4 linked regions of the Drosophila melanogaster genome follow. The gene in region 1 interacts genetically with each later gene. Each region holds a gene or a part of one and is shown in the gene's direction. Other genes may lie near its edges.

The links.
Region 2: of Dad (region 1) and Dys, changing one suppresses a phenotype caused by changing the other (phenotypic suppression), as found in Drosophila melanogaster (one study listed by BioGRID).
Region 3: of Dad (region 1) and Art1, changing one suppresses a phenotype caused by changing the other (phenotypic suppression), as found in Drosophila melanogaster (one study listed by BioGRID).
Region 4: of Dad (region 1) and Mad, changing one suppresses a phenotype caused by changing the other (phenotypic suppression), as found in Drosophila melanogaster (one study listed by BioGRID).

What each region holds. Positions count from the first base shown.
Region 1 is NT_033777.3:17,052,024-17,057,220, forward strand, and holds the start of Dad (daughters against dpp), read left to right. Parts: upstream 1-1,983; 5' UTR 1,984-2,339; intron 2,340-2,873; exon of another isoform or gene 2,874-3,012; 5' UTR 3,013-3,151; intron 3,152-5,197.
Region 2 is NT_033777.3:19,461,799-19,466,823, forward strand, and holds the start of Dys (dystrophin), read left to right. Parts: upstream 1-1,734; 5' UTR 1,735-1,841; exon of another isoform or gene 1,842-1,883; intron 1,884-2,701; 5' UTR 2,702-3,026; coding exon 3,027-3,048; intron 3,049-5,025. Other genes in the region: Scsalpha2 (Succinyl-coenzyme A synthetase alpha subunit 2), read right to left, coding at 138-1,166.
Region 3 is NT_033777.3:10,785,881-10,790,107, reverse strand, and holds Art1 (arginine methyltransferase 1), read left to right. Parts: upstream 1-1,881; 5' UTR 1,882-1,993; coding exon 1,994-1,996; intron 1,997-2,059; coding exon 2,060-2,335; intron 2,336-2,403; coding exon 2,404-2,633; intron 2,634-2,720; coding exon 2,721-3,342; 3' UTR 3,343-3,627; downstream 3,628-4,227. Other genes in the region: Mcm5 (minichromosome maintenance 5), read right to left, coding at 1-68, 127-1,237, 1,292-1,443.
Region 4 is NT_033779.5:3,146,636-3,154,507, reverse strand, and holds the start of Mad (mothers against dpp), read left to right. Parts: upstream 1-1,754; 5' UTR 1,755-2,075; coding exon 2,076-2,079; intron 2,080-5,228; coding exon 5,229-5,704; intron 5,705-5,770; coding exon 5,771-6,461; intron 6,462-6,682; coding exon 6,683-7,089; 3' UTR 7,090-7,872.

The sequences.
Region 1 (5,197 bases):
TTTCCAAACAACAAAACTCGTAAACAGCCGAGCGAGCTAAGATTTCATAGGTGACCATCTACTATATCACCCAAACCATATACCATACCTCTTCCCACACACAAAAGCCATACACATATTTGTGCTTATCCACGTTGTGCATTTGTTTATAGTTAAATGACGTAACTTTTAATAAGGTTGACTGTTGCGATAGACACGTGTAAAACTAACCACAATGTAATATCTCCGATGTAGTTTTAAAATGGCGAAAATATAAAGTAAGCATTTAGTTTTAATATATACATTCGAAATACCTTTTTCCCAATATTATGCTTAAGAGCAATTGGCTTAGTAGAGTTGCAATATTTTTATATTCTAAGAAAAGGGTTAACCATAACAAAGGCACTGCTGAATAATTGAGGCCCTTTAAATAAGATGCTTTGTGGGACGCTACTCCTCGCTGTCGTATTATTTGTTTAGCATTTGCGGAATGTCTCTGGCCTCATAAGAAAATAATGTATTCAAACTCCTGCCGCCGTCCTTTCCGGAGTTAATACCCATGCCCCTCCACGGGGCAAGTCAGGGGCCCGACTCTCGCTTATTTAACGCTCACGACGCGATCAAATTCCTCCTGCCAACATCGCCGGTTGCCGGTTTCACTCCACAAGTGGCCTGTGTTCCCTGTTCCCGACCTATTATTATCGTAATGACGGGAGCCTATTTGCTTTTGTGTTTTCGAGTCGTCCAAACGAGAGACAATTATGTATTTCTACTGGAACTGACGAACCAGGGTTCCTGTTGGAGCGTCTGCTTGGCACTGTGAAAAATCTGGACGTGATCTTGTGTTCCTTACACGTTTAAGTAATACCGGTTTTAAATTACAATAAACTACAATAACTAAATTCGACGTTGCCACTGTATTGCACTGTACTGTATGTCATAGATGAACTAAAGGTAAACTTATATTTATTATTATTTAGAGAATTAGTTATAGTAATAACGACTGTAAAAAATTTTAGCATAGATAATTCCATCGACTTTTCTCGCAGTGCGGTATGCGATCCTCGCTGCGCGCTTTAAGTGTGTTTCTGTGTGTGTAGGGCCGCTGCAGGGGCGCCACTTTGTATGGGCGTGTGTGCGTCCGTGTGTTTGGCAGACATGGGCAAGGCAATGCAACTGATATGCCCTTGATCACAACCATTCATCACATTTTGCGGCAACCAAGACCGCGCTAAATGTCGATGTTGCTTCCTCAGGTTCTCCGCTCTCGACAGCATCGAGGGAGTTGAGTTTTTTGGCAACTTCAACAGACGTATTTAACAGGGGCTAATATGTACTGAGAGTTTTTAATTTGATTCGAATTAATTAAACCTTGTATGCCTTTTAAGCATTTACCTTTTAAGACATCTTAAATAAAATTTTAAGGTACATTAATCTTTTTTTAACTTAAATTATAAAATGCTCATACTGAACACGGCTTTTCAATTATAAACATATAGTTATAGATTTCTCCTATATTATAGGACAGCTTAGTATTTCCCACATAATTTGTCTAGGAAAACTTATCAATTTTTGAAATTACCGCGTTAGCCAACACTATTTCCAACGGCACTGCCAGCATGAAGCGAGTGTGGGTGTGCGTGCGCAGGTTGTATCTGTCCGCGGAAGCGAAACGAAACTCACCACGCCATAGTAGCCATCCAACGGATGCTCTCCACTCTCAGATGTCTTGGATTCTTTGGTTTAGCACTTGTAGTAGGAATGGGAATGTGAAAAATATGAAGATATTTTAACAAGTCTTTTCTAATTAATAATAAAACTGAAGTTCTTATACATTGTTAGAACGGGAACTTTATGTATGATTCTAATTTTACAATTTCTTGGTCTCTTAATTTTTCTCTCTCTCTCTAAACCTCCCTCTCCCAGGCGCTCTCTCAGGCGTTTCTCCCACGTTTATTCCCCACAGCTCCAAAGACTATCAATCCGCACAGTTAGCGCTTCGCTCATTGCCCCAACAATTTTCAACCGCGTCGCTTGTGTGTTCTTTTGCCGTTCGAGAAATCCAAATCCGAAAGATATCAACGAAAAGATGGATACTTGACGTATTGCCACGAGAAATTTTCCGAAATAACGTTATTTGTGTTCGAGACTGCTAAATGATTTTTGGGTTAATTAAATGACAAAAAAACGCAGTTCCTAAATATCGGACTTTTTCGCCTTTCCCCGACTCTTTTTTCGCAACATTTACGGGTTTTGTTTTTGTTGTTGTAAACGCGGGCGTCGTAAACAACAAACAAGTGCAGTGAAGTTGTTGTGCGCTCTAGAACTGAAATGTGAAGGAGGAAATACATAGAAAAAGTGTGAGTGCAGCAGGCAAATCAATTGAAGTGAGAATCGAAGGGGATTGGAAATCGTCAGGCGAAAATCTTTTATTTTTGCTGCTTGCTGTTATGAATTCTATGCATTTGTTTGTGTTTGTGTGTGCAAAGAAAGAGCGAGAATTCTCCGCCCGGATAACGGATCTTCGATCTCGTTTGCGTGCGTGTGTTTTGTGGTTGTGTTCGTGTGCGAATTAAAAATCAATGAGCATCGGGGGGAAAATGCGGGCCAAATAATAAGTGTGTTCAAGCTTTAACTGAGCAAATAACAGCAAGAAAAGAAATGCAATTGTTCGCCAGCCACGTACACACATTGTACCTGCACTGGCCCATACAAACAAACAAACGTATACGTATATAGCGGTGGTAGCGACGCCGGCAGAATCAAAGCAGAGCGCAAATCGCAAGCCAACAAAAAACACCTTTTCCACCACGTTAAAAATTGTTATTGTTTTCCGGCATTCGGCTACTTCAACATAATATTCAACCGAAATCAACACATTACTCGCACCTTATTAAATCCACACAAACGTACACATGCATAGGAAAAAGTGACTGACCAGCAGCAAAAAAAGAAAAAATCGACTGCGGTTACCAATCCAATAACAAAAACCCGTCGGCACGTGTTAAACAAATTCAAATTCGTTGCTAATAGTTTGTTTCTTCTGCAGTAAATGTAAATACAAATTATCAAGTGAACCTCTAAACATATCAAATACACCTACACATATCAAAAAGTAATACTACATAAGGAAAGGATTAAACGGAAACCACCTAACAAAAAATTTTAAACAGTAAGTACCTATTTCCACTCCTTAGAACTCAAAATCAAGCCGATTTGAAGAGGTGCACTCGTGATTATGCAAAATAGCTAAGTCAACAAACAAATGCTTATCACTCATTAGCGTTATTTAAGTTTTCATATTCAATATTTTCTGATGCGGTTTCGAAGATAATTTTATATTTTATATAATACCGAGTCGCGAATATCTGTTACCAAATCGCTATAGTTTCCAATTGGACTTACAATTACTCATGCTTTCATTATCAGAAAGTCCATAACTACGTATGTATATATAAATATACATATAAATTTGTAAACGTGAATTTGGAAAAAATAATCACTCAGCGGGTTTGAATAAAAATTCTTGAGTATAGACTGTTTTCAATTGATTGTTAAATGTGCGATATATGGCTTTTGAAGTGTTGATGTGCAATTTTTTTTTTTTGTATTGGACTTGCTCTAAATACTGAATTTTATGAACGTAAACAGCTCTCTCTATTGTTCACTGGATTACACATCTTTCATAGTTTTAAATGTGGAAGGGTTTTTGTTCCGGCTGACTCAAGATTGGTAAATATTTGAAAGCAAAAGTACGGTGGTATCAATTACTTTGCAATTTTGAAGCTAAAAACTGTGGTGCATACATCGCACATCATAAATAATTTTAGATGTATGTCCATATGTAAATAATTTATTTCTGTCGCTTTCGCATTGCATTTTTTATTATTGACAAATATTAATCGTGCAGTTATACGGTTTATGTGGAGGGAATGAAGGATCTTATAAATTGATTCCTATTATTAATTATGTTTCTGTTCTTGACAAAATAAGTAAAGTCCTAAGATTGGTCTCATAAGATAATGCTACTGTTTAAAACATACCTTTTTTTGTTTCCGATTGAAAAACTCAGATGCATTCTGATAAGTTCTAATTCAAAGCTAGACTTTAAGAACGCTAAGTTCTCGACTTGATGACTTTTCAGAAGAGTTTCGAGAGCGCCTTCAATTCTAATTCCCACCACACTCGCACTCTCTGGTGGTACGTACTCTTTTGAACCACGGCTGCGGTAGATTATTTCATACTCACCTCAACCTTAAATTGTTGATTCTTCAACTTGTCAAACCGGCTGACAAACCGACCGTCGCGTCGCTCGTCCCTGTCCGTGTGTCTGTCTAAGGTGAGCGTGTGTTGGTGTGGCGCCATTCCGACGACGCCTCTGCCGCCGACATCGTTACTATTATTTCTTTTATTACGTCAGTGGCGCCAGGCATTTCCCTCTCGCTCGCACGCCCGCCGCCCTGCCTTTTTTTTACTCTGCACGCAAGCATTCTGTATGTATGAGTGAGCGAGAGAGCGCGAGTGTGTTTGATGCGGTGTGTTGGTGTTGGTGAGCGTGCTTGTGGGGCTGACTCGTAATTTTGTTGCTGTTCGTCGCTGCTGTGCTGTTTTTTATGTTGTTGCCGTCATGCCGGCGGCGCCACTTTTGTCGTCGATAAGGAGCGCAAGAAATGCCAGCAACAAAATGGAAATAGTCGCATGGGCCACACACATACACAAACACAAGCGTATTTGGGCTGTTAATTTGCGGCGCTCTCCCGTTCGTTCCCCCTTACCAATCGTTCCCCCTTACCAATCGTTCCCCCCCACCATCGTCCGTCTCTTTCTCGCTGACAGCTGATGCTGCCGCACAGATCTTTGCATATGCACTGGCGTCGGCTGTCCGTTGGTGAAAGAGGGCGGGGAGGGGGTATTACTCACTCAAGCGATCCACCACTAGATTCCTTGCCTGCCACCAGGGGCGTAGTCTGGAAATCGAAAACGGGGAATGTAGCCTTTTTATAGGAAATGTGGCACATTCAAACAACACTACGCTCATTATTGATTTGATACATACATATGTATGTAAGTATGCACCTGCATATGTGCTCAGAGGGTTTAATAAAAAATAAAGCATTATGATTTTGGTATCTTTCAAATCAGATTCATCTACATACATATATTATTCTATTCAAAGAAAACAAAAAGTAGCAATATAAACATTGAATTAACAAGCCGA
Region 2 (5,025 bases), 2.4 Mb from region 1:
TGTGTTTAGATATAATCCCATTGAACTTCTTCATCAATTTTATAATTTAGACTTCGAAAAAAAAATAAAAGAGATATTTTAGCAATTTAAAGAGCACTAAGTTAGTTTATTGGCATCAATAACTTGTTCCGCCACTCCTACTTCTTCCCGGCCTGAGCCTTCTTTTTGTTCGGCTTGGGCACCAGTTTCAGGCGGATCATTTCCTCGAGGAGCGTGGAGCCCAGGTGGCAGGGATTGGCGGTCATACGGACTCCCGCTTTCTCCAGGGCGGCCACCTTGTCCTTGGCCGCTCCCTTGCCACCGGAAATGATGGCGCCGGCGTGACCCATTCGACGACCCGGTGGAGCAGTCTGTCCAGCAATGAAGCCAACTACTGGCTTGGCCTCGCAGCCAGTGTTCTTCTCCTTAAGGAAATCGGCAGCCTCTTCCTCGGCGGATCCGCCAATCTCTCCAATCATGACAATGCCCTTGATCTCCTTGTCGGACAGAAACACTTTGAGGGCGTCTATGAAGCTAGTTCCGTTAAAGGGATCCCCGCCGAGGCCAACGCAAAGAGCCTGACCCAATCCCACGTTGGTGGTCTGATGGACGGACTCGTAGGTCAGGGTTCCCGACCGCGAGACTATGCCCACCACTCCTCGCTTGTGGATATCTCCCGGCATTATTCCGATTTTGCACTGATCCGGCGAGATGATTCCCGGACAGTTGGGTCCCAGCAGGCGGGACTTCTCCTGGCAATTCAGCATTTGCGATATCCGCACCATATCCGCCTGGGGAATACCCTCGGTGATGGCCACAATCAAGCCAATTTCACTCTCGATAGCCGCGCAAATACCCTCGGCGGCGGATGGAGGTGGTATAAAGATCACCGTGGCATCTGGCTTCGCCTTCTCCACAGCTTCTGCCACCGATTTGAATACGGGCTTGCCCAGATGCTCCGTACCTCCCTTTTTGGGATTCACACCGCCAACTATATTGGTTCCGTACTTTATGGACTCCTCCGAGTGGAAAGTGGCCTGCTTGCCGGTGAATCCCTGGACTAGAACCTTTGTTGCCTTGTTGATCTTCAGGTTGCACACCGTCTTGCCATAGTCCGCCTTGCCACGCCTCAAAATTTGGGGCGTTAACGCCCGCAGGAGCATCTTGCTTCCTCGATTTAGTGACATTTTGTGGGAATTAAGTCTTGGATTGCTGGTGGATTTGTTTTTGGGCCAAAAAATTAAACTTTTGGGGCCTGATTTAGAATGGAGTTCTTACCAAAACTGTTGACCGAATGTCAGGTTTCAACAGTCAAATTATCAGGGAGGTTTGGAAAAAGGCCTGCTGTGTTCTTAACAAATCCTTTTCTGGTAATTTACGTACATGCATGTTTAAGTGCATTTTCTTTTATACAACATTGAGGTCCTATAACTCCTAAACCTTGCTTTGTAACTTCATGTTATTAAATTTAAAGAGTTATTATCTGTTATAATATAAATTTGATAGTAACTTGTTAAAGTAAAAATGAAAACAAATTATCTACCCCACTGTGCCTGCGCTCAGCCCTTCAATTAATTCCGATTCGATTTTAATTGAAATCCAATAGAAACTCCTCTTTTATCTCGCTCTCACTCTCTGAGCGCGCGAAACAGCTGAACTGAAACGCCCGCTTTGGCCAGTTGGGCTGCAACCCGTTCCAATAAGATCATCGTTCAAAGAGAGCGAACAAGAATAGCTACGTTACGATCGCGTTTCAGATCGCTTTCTGACTTCGAAGCGTAAAGACTTAAAACGCGTCGGATAAACACCATGATGTTACTGGTTTTTTTCTGCGCGCCGTCGTTGTGAGCCGAGAAGAAAAAGTAACAAAAGAAGCAGCGCAGGAAAATCAAAATTGGCTGCAAGTGCGTGTCCCGAAAGTTTAATAACCAAGAAAAGTTTGTAAATTGAAAAAGGCACTTAAAGTGGTTACCTAAAATGAAAAGATAATGGGAAAGAGCAAAAAAAAAAGCTGACGCAAGTTCAAGGTGTAGAATTTGTGCGCGTGTGTGAGTGTGCCACAAGTTGTTTGAGCAAAAGTGGAGAAATAATATAAATTCCGAAGGAATTTCAACAGCAAGTGCTTGAAATCGCAATTGGTGTGCCAAACTTAAGGTTTTGCCTTGTCTTTAATCGAGTTTTTAGAGGTTTTAACTCTTTTTTTCCAACAAACACACACATTCACGCATTCTTGATTCTTTGACTCACAAATTACCCACGATAGCAACAACAAAAGTGTTGTCTGTTCCAATAGCCACACGTTCCATTTCTGGTTTTCGCTTTTAATGCCGCACTGTTTCGGACGTTTCCAGCGTTCCTCGTTAACCGGTGTTTGCTTTTTGATGAGCGTGAGAGCGGGGAAAGATAAAAAGAGAGAGAGAGAGACTAAGAAATTGATAAAGAAAATGGAAAAAAGTAAATAAAACAATCAAATTGGTAAACAACGCTGCTTGTTAAAATTAAAAATGGCAGGCAAACACAAAAACTCATTAAAAGCAGAGGAAAACCTAACGGTAGTTTCCTGACTCCCGCTCACTTCCTCTCTCTCGCTCATTCTCTTTGCCGTTGCGCATGCGCAAAACATATTTGTTTCTTGGTGGGAAAGTCAACACAAAGTCTAATAAGAAAACAAACATCACAGGTGTCACCTTTAATATTCGACATTCTGCAATTGTGATTTTAGGTCTTTGTAGAATTCTTGGCACACCTTCGATTTCTGGAAATTAACGCGAAATATTACGAAACGAAGCGGTAAACAAAACCAAATGGTGCGAAAGTGGTAAAAAAAAACGAAATGCGGCGATATCAGTTGTCTTACCACGAAGCATACATATCAATCAAACCGAAATAAATAACCCGAATTGTGTCCATGTGATTCAACGATTTTGTAATTCAATTCGATACGATACGACCTTGAAAAGCATAGGTTTTTATGTTGGTGATTTTAAATTTTATCGAAACGAAATCAATTCGCTACTGGGATTAAGCGAATCAAGGATTATACGACTATGGAACCCGGAATTTTAATTGGTAAGATTGTAGATCTTTATATGGGTTTTTAAAGAGAAAATCATTACTGACTTCAAGGCAGATGTTAAAATACAAGATGAGATAAGTCATATTTCTTGTTTGGAAAATCATTAAAAATTCGATCCAATAACAGATAAATCAATTTATATATACAATTTAATGTATGTAGTGTTCTTTCTCTTAAGTTTATTGGTAAATATTCTTAAAAATATTTTGCTTAGTTTGCTTTGTAGCATAAAATTAAGTCAAAAAGTCGTTCAAAAAGTATTCTGTATGCATTTATTCCCACACATGTTCGGAGCTAATTACAGAAAAAATCCACAGATCATCCAACTGCACTCCCTTCTCAAAACTTAACCCCATTGGGGGAAGAGCAATTATTTCGAGGGCTCAGAACTCGTGCCCCCATTTCACATATCTGAAATAATTTCCATGCTTTCTTCGCTCGCAGAAGCGACTTTAAAAACGGAGACAAACAGACGACCACATGTTGCTTGTAGTCACAGAAACATATGCAATCACTGGGAGAAATTTTTCTAATCTACAGAATATTAAAAAGTGTTAAAGAAAAGAAAATAATTATAATTAGAAAGTAAGTAAAGAAGATGAAAAATACATTTGCAATTGAGAAATTAAGCTAGTCAGACAATTTTTCGAAGCCACATTGTATCTCAAGAACAAAGCGATTTAAATTTCAAATCCTAATATAAATCGAACTGAGCTAATTTTTTCGCCCAGTGTCCTGGAACAACAAAGTGATGGCACACACCCCATTCAGAACCACAGATACAGATACATCGCTTTAACTCATTTGGTTAAGCATTTAATGATCGGGCAAATGCAGAGTCGGCCGAGTTCTGAGGGGACAGCTGGAAAATGCGAGTGAGGAGCAGAGGGTGTGGCCTGGTCTGTAGACGGCGGTTGCTAACGCTCCCAAGCCGAATGCTCTGCGTAACCCGCGCTCAGCTAATGAGCACCCAACCGCTGTGGAGGGGGGTTGGGTGGAAAATCGGGGGAGCGGGCTGCGAACGGGTGTAATTGAGACTCGGTTTAGACACCGAACCGCACCAATTTGTGCGAGAAATCTAATATGTGCGGGTTTCCATAAAACCCGGCGGCGAAAATGCCGAGGGTATATTGTATTTCTTATAAATATTAATAATATGAGTTTTAAAATTTGTAGACTTACAAAAACTTCAACGCAAATAAACGATCATTCGATTTTTATAAATAATATATAACTATTTCGACAATCTGTAGTTGATAAACCCCAAGCAAGGGTTTCGAATAAAATTGCTAAGTATTCTATTTCGTTTTTAGATTAAATGTAAAGTATTCAACAGTTTTCGAATTCCAAATTCGGGCTTGGATGGCATTAGGCGTATCCATGAGTGTCGCTGGTTTGTCTGCGGCTTAAAACCGGCAAAGCCACCAGTTCGGATCGAAATCCGCTCGACCAGCTGGGCTTGGAATGCGACAAAATGCGCATTTGCATTTGGCCACATGTGTCGGTTTTATTTGATATGTTTTTGTATTTGAGCTTAGTGGGATCTGGAGCACACATTACCAATACCAGTGCAGCCGGTCTTTTCAAGTAACACGGACACGGAGTCAAAAATGCGCACGCCCGTAAAAAATTACTCCAACTACAGCTCGCAATTTGTTATTCCCGCTATTTTGCTCTTTTTTTTTTTGGCTAATGGGTTTCCATTTGTTTATTGCTTGATTGGATTTTGTAGCTGAGTTGCGGGGAAAAAAGGCGTTTATCTGGTAGGTGCCATCTGTGGGGGAGTTTTGGGGTTTCAAAGTGGACCGAACAAGTTGTTTTGCAATTTTCAAGGCTAATTTAACAAACTATTACCTTTTATTACCTATTACCTTTACCACTTAACAAGCTACATAATAATCTCAATAATATATGATAAAATATCTAGAAACTATAAATAAGTAGAACATATGAAACCAAATTTTGACAGT
Region 3 (4,227 bases), 6.3 Mb from region 1:
AACTCATCAATACAAACCACGCCTCCATCGGCCAGCACCATGGCTCCACCCTCCATGACAAAGTTACGCTAAAGATTAATGTATCATTTAATTTGTAAGGATTAGGTGTGCAATGTTTTTTCTCACCGTTTGAGGATCCTTCATAACCGAAGCCGTGAGACCAGCCGCACTGGAGCCTTTGCCCGAAGTGTAGACTGCTATGGGTGCCACCTTCTCCACAAACTTTAACAACTGTGACTTGGCAGTACCAGGATCTCCCAGCAGTAAGACGTTAATGTCGCCTCGACGGCACAGACCATCCGGTAAACGCTTACGAGACCCGCCAAAAAGCATACAAGTTATAGCTTTCTTGATATCCCGAGAGCCGAAGATGCTGGGCGCCAGTGACTGTGAGAGACGTTCGTAGATGTCCCCAGAGGCGGCCATTCGCCGGAAGTGCTCCTCCTCATCGGATGTGATGTTGCTGTATCGGGAGATGGCACCCGCACCCTCTGAGTCGACGGTGATGCCCACCACCCTCATGTAAGGAGCACGGACTCCAACGACGGCTTTCTCGCGACCATCCCGACGCGAGGGTTTGCCCACCTTGCGAATGGAGTATATGCCCTGGATAAGCACGCGATTGCCGGGCACCACGCGTTCACAGAGCGAGCGATCGCAGAAGAGCTGCAAGTGGCGGGGAATCTCACCCTGTGGCACAAAGTCGGGGAGCTCTTGCAACTTAAGGGTCTGGAAATCGACGCACTTGCACTTGTCCGGCATGATGAAGAAGGGGTCCAGCGGGCACTTGGGTCTGCCCGCCTGCTCCGTGTTGCACTTCCTGGGTAGGGCGTAGCCCTCCAAACCTGGATTCACTTTGAGATTCGGTATGACCGTGCTGCAGGACAGGCATTGGATAGACATCCGCGTAGCCTTGGCACTTATTCCTGAGGCTGCGACAATGATTCCGGCGATCTTAACCAGCTTGGATACGCAGTCCGACTTCAACTGTCGTATGTTGGTGGGATTCGCATTGGAGCTCAGAAGAATCTGGATGTCGTGCATATGTTCCTCGTGCTCCGGCCGGGGAGCTGTGATCTCGTCGGCTACCTCCCGGGCAGCCTCCTCGAAGATTTCCAAATGCTCCGTCGGCTGCTTGTTCAGCTTGTCAGCCAAGGTCTCATCGAAGCCCACCAAATCCTCCATCTCAATCTCCAAGAAGTAGCGACCATTAAGATAGTTCCTCTTCAGGGTGTCACTGCAGGGGGATTACCTTAAATGGGGTTCAGATGAGGAGATGCAGTTCACTTACCGGTATTTGTAGAAAAAGTTCTCCTCGTTAAATGTCCGGATGAACTCCTTGTACTTCTTCTTTACCGCCTGCAAGTTGATTTGCGCATCCTGCTGGTTATCTCCGCCGAAATTGTCCGAAAAGAACACACCCGCATCGTCGAAGCCTTCCATTTTGATAGGGTAAACAAAGTTAAAAAGAAGAACTGAGGTAATAGACGCTACTTCTGCTTCGCTTTATATTTCGTTTTTTAGTAAATGCGATGTGCGAATATTTTGCCGCCAAAATTACCGGGCAAGCGGTAGCTAGAGATGAGCACTTACCAGTAAAACTATCGGATCTTATTTACAACTATCGATGAAACGTGTTTCCCAGTTTATGTATTTTTGTTAGCAGTGAAATAGGACCAATACAACAAGCATTGCAGCAGTTAATAAACCATGAACGTATTTATTATATCTTATTGATGTTATGACAAAGATTATTTTACTCGATTATATGGAACATGCCTTAGACAACTGACTCCAATTCTTCCCAGCTCAAAAATACTAAAATTTCAGAAAAATCCAATAATATCGAGCTGGCGATATTTGTTTCCAGCTTTTGTGCGGGGGCAGTGTTGATAAGCGACCTTTTAAACTAGCGTGCTGTAGAAACAGTCCCATCATTTAGTCGCCAATTTTTCGACGTGAAAAACCAAAGAGACGCCGAAGAAATTAGAAAATGGTAAGTTTTGGTCAAAATGTGACGGCAATCGACAGGCCAGTAGCTGACGAACCCGATTCGCAGGCCAGCACAGACATTCCCATGGAGGCAGCTGTGGAATCGGCGACCGGCATCACGCCCAATTCAAATGCGAACTCAAACAATGTGGCGAAGAAGCTGCCCGCGGAGGGCTCCACCGGTGATAATCCCAATGCCAACGCCGACGAGATGACGTCCCGCGACTATTACTTTGACTCCTATGCCCATTTCGGGATCCACGAGGAGATGCTCAAGGACGAAGTGCGCACCGTCACATACCGCAACGCCATGTACCACAACAAGCATCTGTTTCAGGGCAAGGTAGGGTTAACTTCCGGGGTTTCCCCATTTTTCGTAGCCCTTCTCACCGGGGTATCTCCTCTTTGCAGACCGTACTGGACGTGGGTTGCGGTACCGGCATTCTCTCCATGTTCGCTGCCAAAGCCGGTGCTGCTCAGGTGATTGCCGTCGACTGCTCCAACATCATTGAGTTTGCCCGCCAAGTGGTCATTGACAACAATCTGCAGGATGTAATCACGGTTGTCAAGGGCAAGATTGAGGAGATTGAGCTTCCAAATGGTATTGAGGGAGTGGACATTATTATTTCCGAGTGGATGGGGTAGGTTTTCATTTGTAGTTAAGCTTTTAAAAAGTGGTCATATTTGATTTAGCATATTAACCATTTTAATTTCTTTCCTTAATTTAGTTACTGCCTGTTCTACGAATCCATGCTGGATACAGTGTTGTACGCTCGGGACAAGTGGCTGAAGAAGGACGGCATGATGTTCCCAGATAGGGGCACGCTGTATATCACGGCCATCGAGGACAGACAGTACAAGGACGAGAAGATCAACTGGTGGGACGATGTCTACGGCTTCGACATGAGCTGCATTCGTAAGGTGGCCGTGACCGAGCCACTGGTCGACGTGGTCGATCCCAAGCAAGTGGTATCCACATCTTGCATGGTCAAGGAGGTGGATCTGTATACCGTGCAAAAGGCCGATCTTAACTTCTCGTCCAAGTTCAGCCTATGCATCAAGCGCAACGACTTCGTGCAGGCATTAGTCACCTACTTTAATATAGAGTTCACCAAGTGCCACAAGCGTCTTGGGTTCAGTACGTCACCAGACTCCACATACACGCATTGGAAGCAAACCGTGTTCTACCTCGATGACCACATGACGGCAAAGAAGAACGAGGAGATCACTGGCACGTTCCAGATGAAGCCCAACGAGCGGAACAACCGTGACCTGGACTTCGTCATCGACATTAATTTCAAGGGCGAATTGTCTCAAATTCAGGAGTCGAACACATACCGCATGCGCTAGGGGCAGCCATAACCAATCCGATCTGCCATTTGGGATGGGGCTCAGAGCCCTGCAGCGAGGATACATACAATGACTAGACGTAAGGTTTATTCCAGTGCGAAATGTGCAACGAATTCGTGTTGCGTCTTCTCCTAAGTTTAAAGTGTACCTTTGTTAGTATACATAATATTTTACACTCGTGCGCCTGTTTAAATTATTATTCGAACATACTTCTAAGCAAGTTGTACAGCAGCACGTCAATTCTCACATAATAAACAGTGCACTAAGCACGTCCCCTTTTGCTGGAAACAAACTGTTTTTGATGATATATGAAACCAATCAAAACTCGCTGATTGTGCGTCTTTATTTTTTAGTAAAAAAAAAAAAGGAATTTCAAGAATGCATCGAAAGATTTATATTGTCATCTGAAGTAAATTTACTTGGATCGCAATCGACATAGGAATTCCTACAGAAAATACGGCCTTGGCCGGCTTGTTCTTTGATGCGACACTGCTTAAACGATATCCTTTTGGAAACATTAATGACGATCCCGAGAATCCGAGCGACTTCGACGATCGCGCGAGAAGCTGCGGCTGCGGGGCGATCGGGAGCGACGTGGCGAACGTGACCTGAAATAAACGCATTGGTAAAGAAGAAATGATTACTTAAAAGCTTAATAAAATTATTTAAATCAGCTTAGAATGGTAAGAAGTGTATGTACATACGCGCCTTACAAAGAGCTGCAAAATAGGAGTGTTAAATACTGCTAAATAGTTACTTAAACTAATTACCAGGGGGAACAAAAATGAAAGCTGTGCAAACTGTTTTGTTTCTATGAATTAAGCTGTGAACCAATTAAGATAAGAGTATTATTGCTAATGCTGCTATTACATTTAGCTGCTGCAA
Region 4 (7,872 bases), on another chromosome or scaffold:
AGAAATGCTGTTTATTATTCACAGTAGTATATCCTTCTTCCAACTATGTTTGGCGCGCTTCGTTACTACTCAACTTGCATACTACTCATAAATGTGCATCAATGTTCATAAACATTGAAATTATTTCAAATCAAGATGGAACTGAAAGCTATTTATTTGAAAGTAGTGTAGACCACCCACCACCGACTGGCAATTTTTTTCATTTTTGCGGAAAAGCGGTGGTGTCCCCGTGTTGACAGCTCAATTACTCACATGACACAAAGCCTCTGCGTGGCCCCCTGCAATTATCGCGGCAATTATTTGCAATTAGAATTGAGTTAATTTACTTAAAAAAGGATTTTCTGCCGTGCCTGCGCATTTTTGCCCCTTGACGTTTGCACTTCGGCACGTGTGTGTTTTGAGTTTTCCGCTTTTGTGCAATTTGCGTGCATAAATTTTTATTGTTCCAAAGGGACTACATAATTATTTTGTTATTTTTCGTCGTTTTCACTTCTGCTTTCGAGGAGAGTGCGCTTCATTACTATTTCGATTTTACTGCGACTGTATAATGCTACCCATGTTTGCAATAAGTTCGCGTTTAGTAGTGTTAAACACGCAATAAAAGCGAAGGGAGGGAGGAGCGATCGCACATAAACATGCTCGCATTCTAAGCACACGTACAGTCCGGGCCAAGAAAATAGGTTCGCTTGACTTCAATTCAAAAGATTTCGTAACGAAAAAACTTTAGTTTCGTTGCTTTACCCATTAAAAAAAATTGGCAGTGCATTTGCGAATAGAATTTCGATTTGTTTCCGCTTATTTTCGTACCGAAAACACTCTGCCGAAGGAGGGCTTCATCGAATTTTAGGTTCAATTACTCGCCGGTCCCACGCACGAAAAAATTCGTTGACGCTGCCTTCTCTTAAACTCCTCCCCTGAAACTACGTTCCCTTCATTTTTGTTGTGGTTGCGGTGGGGTGTTTACAGTTTGATTGTGGCTGTGGGTTGACGCCACCTCCAACACCACCAAAGGCCATGCACTGCAAACAAATTAGTGTGCATCTAAAAACAGCAATGTCTATTTAATTCGAAAAAGAGTTAAGTAAAAGAGTACTCAAATGTTAAATCTTAGTTCTTCAAGTAACATTGTTATTTGAAATACAAATGTTGCATATTTTTCTCGCCGTGTGATCTGCTGCACACAAACACGTTCGCGCTCACGTGCTGGCGCCCCCAACTGCAGATAGGGCATTTGATTTGTTTAAAACAAAACTTTCGTTGCCTGTATGGGTGTAGTGGTGTGCACTTGGCTGCCCCAAACGCACACTGAAACCAATTACGAGCACAGGAATACGAATACGAATACGTCACTCAGAGGTCTTCAGAAATCAGGGCTGCGGACTAGCTGGTGATAAAGAAGGGATTCAATAGGGATACATACACTAGATTTATACTCTCTTAGGGCTACAATAAGTACATTACTAAATAGATAAATATTAAGAAAATGGAATATAATAACTCAATTTTCCAGTCTTAAACTTATTAATAACTGTAGAAAGTAGTTTGTGTTACCTTTAGATACTTTAGGATGGACCTGCTGCTTCGCATCCCTGGCGAACTCACACCGATACACAATACGAATGCAGTTTGGGCTGCGTTCAGTTCGTCACTCACTCAGTCAGTCAGTTCGTCAGTCAGTCAGTCAGTCAGTCAGTCAATCAACACTCGGCGCACTCAGTTTGCTGGGCAACCCGTTCGGCATTCGTTGTCGATCGGTCGTGTCGTGCAGTTGACTTCTGATTCGCGCTCGCTGCCATTTCCACTTTGCGTAATTTACGGCGAAAATAAAAAATAATACGGCAAAAGGCTTAAATAAATGAAGTTATTACGGTGATAACGATTGAATTGAAGACTCGCAGCGGAAATGTAACTGCTGAGGCGACTGGATTGGATGCCCGATCGTCGTGGAGGGTCGCGTTTGCGATTTGCATACGAATAAAATAACATTTTGATGCTGAATTCTTGTCCGTGTGTGTGTGTGTGTTTGTGCGTGCAATAAAAATAAATAAAATAATATCTGCAATCTCAACATCATCATGTGTAGGTTCTTAGTTCGTACATAGTTCTCGTTTGCCTCGAGTTGCTCGATTTTTGAGTTTTCCTCCTCGCATCAAATCGAAACTTTGGCCTGTTTGGTTTTGGTCTTTATCGCGCTGCGTTTTTGTGTGTGCATTGTTTGTTTATTTTTAAACATGGGTCCAAGTCCCTATTTTCTCTGTCTGTTCGTTTTTTTCTTGTTGTTTTGTTGTTATTTTTGTGGCACTAGTCGTAGTACCCTTTACCACGCTTTTTGCCCGCTTTCAATGGCAGCGGAAGTGCTTCTGTACTTCTGTACTTGTGTACTTGCCATCCATCCACCTTGATTTCTACTTCTACCTGGCTCCCATGATTTACGCCTTATTGTCACTGCCGCATTTATGATTGATTATCGATTGGAATGGTATGATACGCATGCGCGAATGCGTGCCTGCCATAAAAGTGCCTCGATATCCTCGCTCCTCCGTTTCTCCAGTTGAGTTATGATCCCTGACTAGCGATGCACTGAAAAGAAACTCACAATGGAATCACTAACCAGAAGAATGTACACAGCCGATTTGAAATGCAATTCTTCAATTTAGTTACTCTAAATATAAGACTAAAAGTAGATTCACTTTAAACCAAGAACCATCAATTGAATTTGCTTTGAAAGCAATGAAGAACTTTCCTTCGAGTGTGGTTTTCTTGAAAGCAGAAAGAAGACTGGGCCACTTTGGGCGGGTACGTTGGGTACGTGATCTCAGCTCGGGTAATATGTAATTGCGAATTACGATTATTGATCTTTAATTGATATGGGGAATGTCCCATATGATAATGGATCATAAAGGACTTATTATATTTATATTTAGTATCGTTCAACTCGAGATGCATTGAGAGACAAAACAAGAAAATCGTTTAAGTGCCTAAAGAAAGCCACTTTGTTGTTTGGAAAACCATCAAATCTCCGAATAAACATCATAAATATGTTGAATATGTTGTTATGATCGTGTAAATAAAGTTTTTATGTAATTCCTGCGAATTAATGGGGTAGTTTCCCCTTTTGAAAACCGACTGATTATGTCGAAAACCTCACCTGCAATCGAGCTTTGCACAAACAAAACGGGGGCATTATCGAAATTTGTATGCCTGCCCCACTCAAATCAATCGAATTCCACTAGAGCACCATTGCCACCTAAAAACACACGACACTAGTCAGCTGGGTAAATACGTAGGGTAGAGTTCTCTATCTCCACTAACCCCCTCGATAAGTCTGTCCGCCAAGTGTCACTCCGTTTGTATCCTGAGTTACTGAGAAGGAGAGACCATGTGAACTGGTACTCCACTGTATGTTTAATTTTGGGATTAGTTATAAGCAAAGGTGTACCATTTTCGATAAGGTACCGATTGTTTGTTCGTAATCCTAATCTTTTGGAAGAGGTTTTTAAGCTAGTTTTGGTAATCAAAATGGTTGTGTGACTTATCATTAATTTCAATATATTCTTGTAGGCTAGTGATAAAGTTAGAGCATTCTTAGAGCAATATATCTACCGCCGGAGGCTCTGGTTGACTTTGGGCAATTAGAAAAGTGACTGCCCCCAACCACTGGTCCTCGTTGACCACGCCCCCTTCCATGGGCGACAACATAAAATTGTCAATGCTGCGAAAAAAAAAAGAAAACGGCAACGCCCCAAAATTTTTAGGCCCGAGTTGAGCGAGAAAATCGAAATTAATTCACGCAACGGCTAATTTGGCCAGAAATATGCGCCATTTGGTCTGTCGGGAGCCCAATCGAGAGGTGTTTTCTTGTTGTCCAAGTGCTGCACTTGTTGATTTATCGCCGGCATTTAATTGCTTTTGAAATTGGATTTACCAGCCCGTTTGCTTGCCACAAAAATGGGTGGTTCGCCTAGCAAGTTCGCCTTGTGTGGCTCGCCGATTTTTGCTCCAGCTTGCACAAATTAATTGCTACTACAAATTTTCATTCAATTAGGTTTTGTCACTTTTAAATTTAATCAAACATTTTTTGACACCTTGAGTAAAGCAACGAGATTGAGGCTAAGACAGCCAACTGGAGCGCAGCCACTTGGCCAACGGAGAGAAGTTCCTCAGAAATGCTGTTAACATTGAAATGTCATAATTCAAATGGAATTGTTGTCTTTGGTGGGGAAAAGTATGGAGGGGGGGGGGCGTAGAAAACAGGGGGGAATACCCACAATTGTGGCGCTGACAAGTCGAACACCATTTGGTTATCATTTGCGCTCATTATGAGATGCAGTTCTCGCCACTCGACTCGAATATTACTGCAGTACAGTGGAGCCTAACTAAATAGAATGAAGACAGTGGGTTTTTATTGCTATAGTTTAGTTTTTTCTGTTGATAAACCAATTTCTTAATGCCAATTTTCTAAGAATCGATAAGGCAGCCCGAAAACCAGCACATGAAACTATTATCTGTGCTTCATAAATTTACCTATTATTCATATATTTTTGCAGAATTGTTGTGTTCGAAAACTAATACTATTTATAACGTTGAAAAGTGCGAACTCTTTTCGTTCGCAACCTTTGTGGTTTTTTGGAATTCAAAGAACTGTCAGACCTCAAAAATACCCCCCTTACAATAGAATCGTTTCACAATTGACGTCAGCTGCGATTGAATACGAACAATAACCATATTTAATAGATAAAAATAAGTTTCCAACGAAATCGAGATTCGATTAATCAGCTAGTTGGTTAAGTGAAGCAATAATGGCCATTATTCTCAATGAGAAAATGTTGCAGGCAATTTGCATGCAATTGGCCGCCAACATTGAAAGTGGGAGGAGTCCGTTCATGACAGGAACCTCCCAACGACTTCATTCACTAGCCAGAAACACGATGCACTGCCAGGCCCCATGGATACTCACTCCTCCTCCAATTTCTGCTGGGCACTTGGCCAAGCGGGTAAAGACACTCGAAGAAAAAGGGTCACATAAGTTGCTGACTTCCCCTTTTGTTACGTATAAACATTTGCTTGAATTAGATGCAAAGTTTTCTATAACATTTCTCTCAGTGCATTCGAATTTTGCATGCGTTGTGTTGTGGGCGTTGCTGAGACAATCTAAGCTCGATGATGAATGCCTGCAATTCTATTTGTATTTATTATTTATATTTGCTTTTTACTTGCTCTTTTCACAGACTATCCGCCCGCTGATAGTTATACCGGTTATCGGGTGACTCCACCCCAAATCAACGGCGGCACCACCACCACCACCACCATCAGCAGCGGCAGCAGCAACAACAACAACATCCACCACATCAACAATAACAATAACCACATCTGCAGCAGTGGCAGCAGCAACAACCTCAATTTGACGACAGCAATCAGCGGCAGCAGCAACAGAATGGACACCGACGATGTGGAATCGAACACAAGCAGCGCGATGTCCACACTGGGCTCGCTATTCTCCTTCACATCGCCGGCGGTGAAGAAGCTGCTGGGCTGGAAACAGGGTGACGAAGAGGAGAAGTGGGCGGAGAAGGCCGTCGACAGTCTGGTGAAGAAGTTGAAGAAGCGCAAGGGCGCCATCGAGGAGCTGGAGCGTGCGCTCTCCTGTCCCGGTCAGCCCTCGAAGTGTGTCACCATTCCACGCTCGCTGGACGGACGATTACAGGTGGGTCACAAGCCACATGGCCAGCTAAGTAACAGATGATTATTAACTCCTATTTCCGAATATCAGGTCTCCCATCGCAAGGGTCTGCCGCATGTGATCTACTGCCGCGTGTGGCGCTGGCCAGATCTGCAGTCGCACCACGAACTGAAGCCACTCGAGCTGTGCCAGTATCCGTTCAGCGCCAAGCAGAAGGAGGTGTGCATCAATCCGTATCACTATAAGCGCGTGGAGAGTCCGGTGCTCCCGCCAGTACTCGTTCCTCGCCACTCGGAATTCGCGCCCGGTCACTCGATGCTGCAGTTCAACCATGTGGCCGAGCCCAGTATGCCGCACAATGTGAGCTACTCGAACAGTGGATTCAACTCGCACAGCTTGAGCACCAGCAACACATCGGTGGGCAGTCCGAGTTCCGTCAACTCCAATCCCAATTCGCCGTACGACAGCTTGGCGGGAACACCGCCACCCGCCTACAGTCCCTCGGAGGATGGCAACTCCAACAATCCGAACGACGGTGGCCAGCTGCTGGATGCTCAGATGGGCGATGTTGCCCAGGTTAGCTATTCGGAGCCCGCCTTCTGGGCGTCGATAGCCTACTACGAGCTAAATTGCCGCGTGGGCGAGGTGTTCCACTGCAACAACAACTCCGTGATCGTTGACGGTTTCACGAATCCTTCCAACAACTCGGACCGCTGCTGTCTCGGCCAGCTGAGCAACGTGAACAGGAATAGCACCATCGAGAACACACGCCGTCATATAGGTGAGTCGATTTTAGCACTTAAATTAACTTACTCACAGAGATTTCCCATCAGCAACTATCTTAAAGTGGTTAATAACTAAGATTACACATTGGTAATCTTAAATTAGAAAGCGACTTGTGTTTATCAGTTATAAAAATAGGCATTGAGTAGAGTAGAAAGCTATGGACTTCAAGAATCCAACTACCTGTCTTTTTAACTCAAAATGTTTCTTCTTCCCCAGGCAAGGGTGTTCATTTATACTATGTGACCGGCGAGGTCTACGCCGAATGCCTATCCGACTCCGCCATTTTCGTGCAGTCGCGCAACTGCAACTACCACCACGGATTCCATCCGAGCACCGTGTGCAAAATACCGCCGGGCTGCTCGCTGAAGATCTTCAACAATCAGGAATTTGCTCAGCTGCTGTCGCAGTCGGTGAACAATGGATTCGAGGCCGTCTACGAGCTGACAAAGATGTGCACGATCCGGATGTCGTTCGTGAAGGGCTGGGGTGCGGAGTATCATCGCCAGGATGTGACCTCGACGCCCTGTTGGATTGAAATCCATCTGCACGGGCCGCTCCAGTGGCTGGACAAGGTGCTCACCCAAATGGGCTCTCCGCATAATGCAATTAGTTCGGTATCCTAAGCTTAAGATGAGGCTCGAGTCCTCAATGGAGACGGAAGAGAAGGAACACAAAACCGGTAGCTAAATGATGAGTGCGTGTGAGTGAAAGCTAAGTGTGAAAAGACGTAGAGAACACAGGACAATGGAGAGAGCATAGGTCTGTAGGCCTGAGGATGGAGGTCCATGCCACTCAGTCGCAGATTTATATAGATGATGTACGGCAGCTACTCCAATACCCGCCCTTTGCCCATATTTTATAGTTTATCGTATGATTTTCTATGCGAATGTCATTCCTAACGCTAAAACAGAGTAATGAAAATGGACAGCGAGCTAAGAAACCAATTACAAAATGGTATAACTATTTACAATGATCTACATGCTATAATATTAATGATCTATGCCCATTGGCAAAACAGTTCTTGTTCAAGTCTATTTCAAGTGCTAATTATGTGTCATTGCAAAACTGCTTTAAATATAAAAACACATTGAATTAATCCTACCAACTTTAATTACATAAGGAACAAGTAACTTACGTAGGGATATGAAAACACTTATTGCAATACATTTCTTAAAATGATTTTGAAGAAGCCCTAGCTTATGTTTTATTTTTCTCATTTGCGGTTCGCCTTGGATCAACGAATTCAATGTTCAATATAGTTGATTTAAATATATATATGGTTTAACTAATTTTAAGTTGCAAACAAATCGAAAACATCAAACAAGAAAAGATACCAGCGAAATTTAAGAATGGAAAAATGCTACTGAATCAATACGTTTTCCCAGACAATGATCTTTTGTTATCTT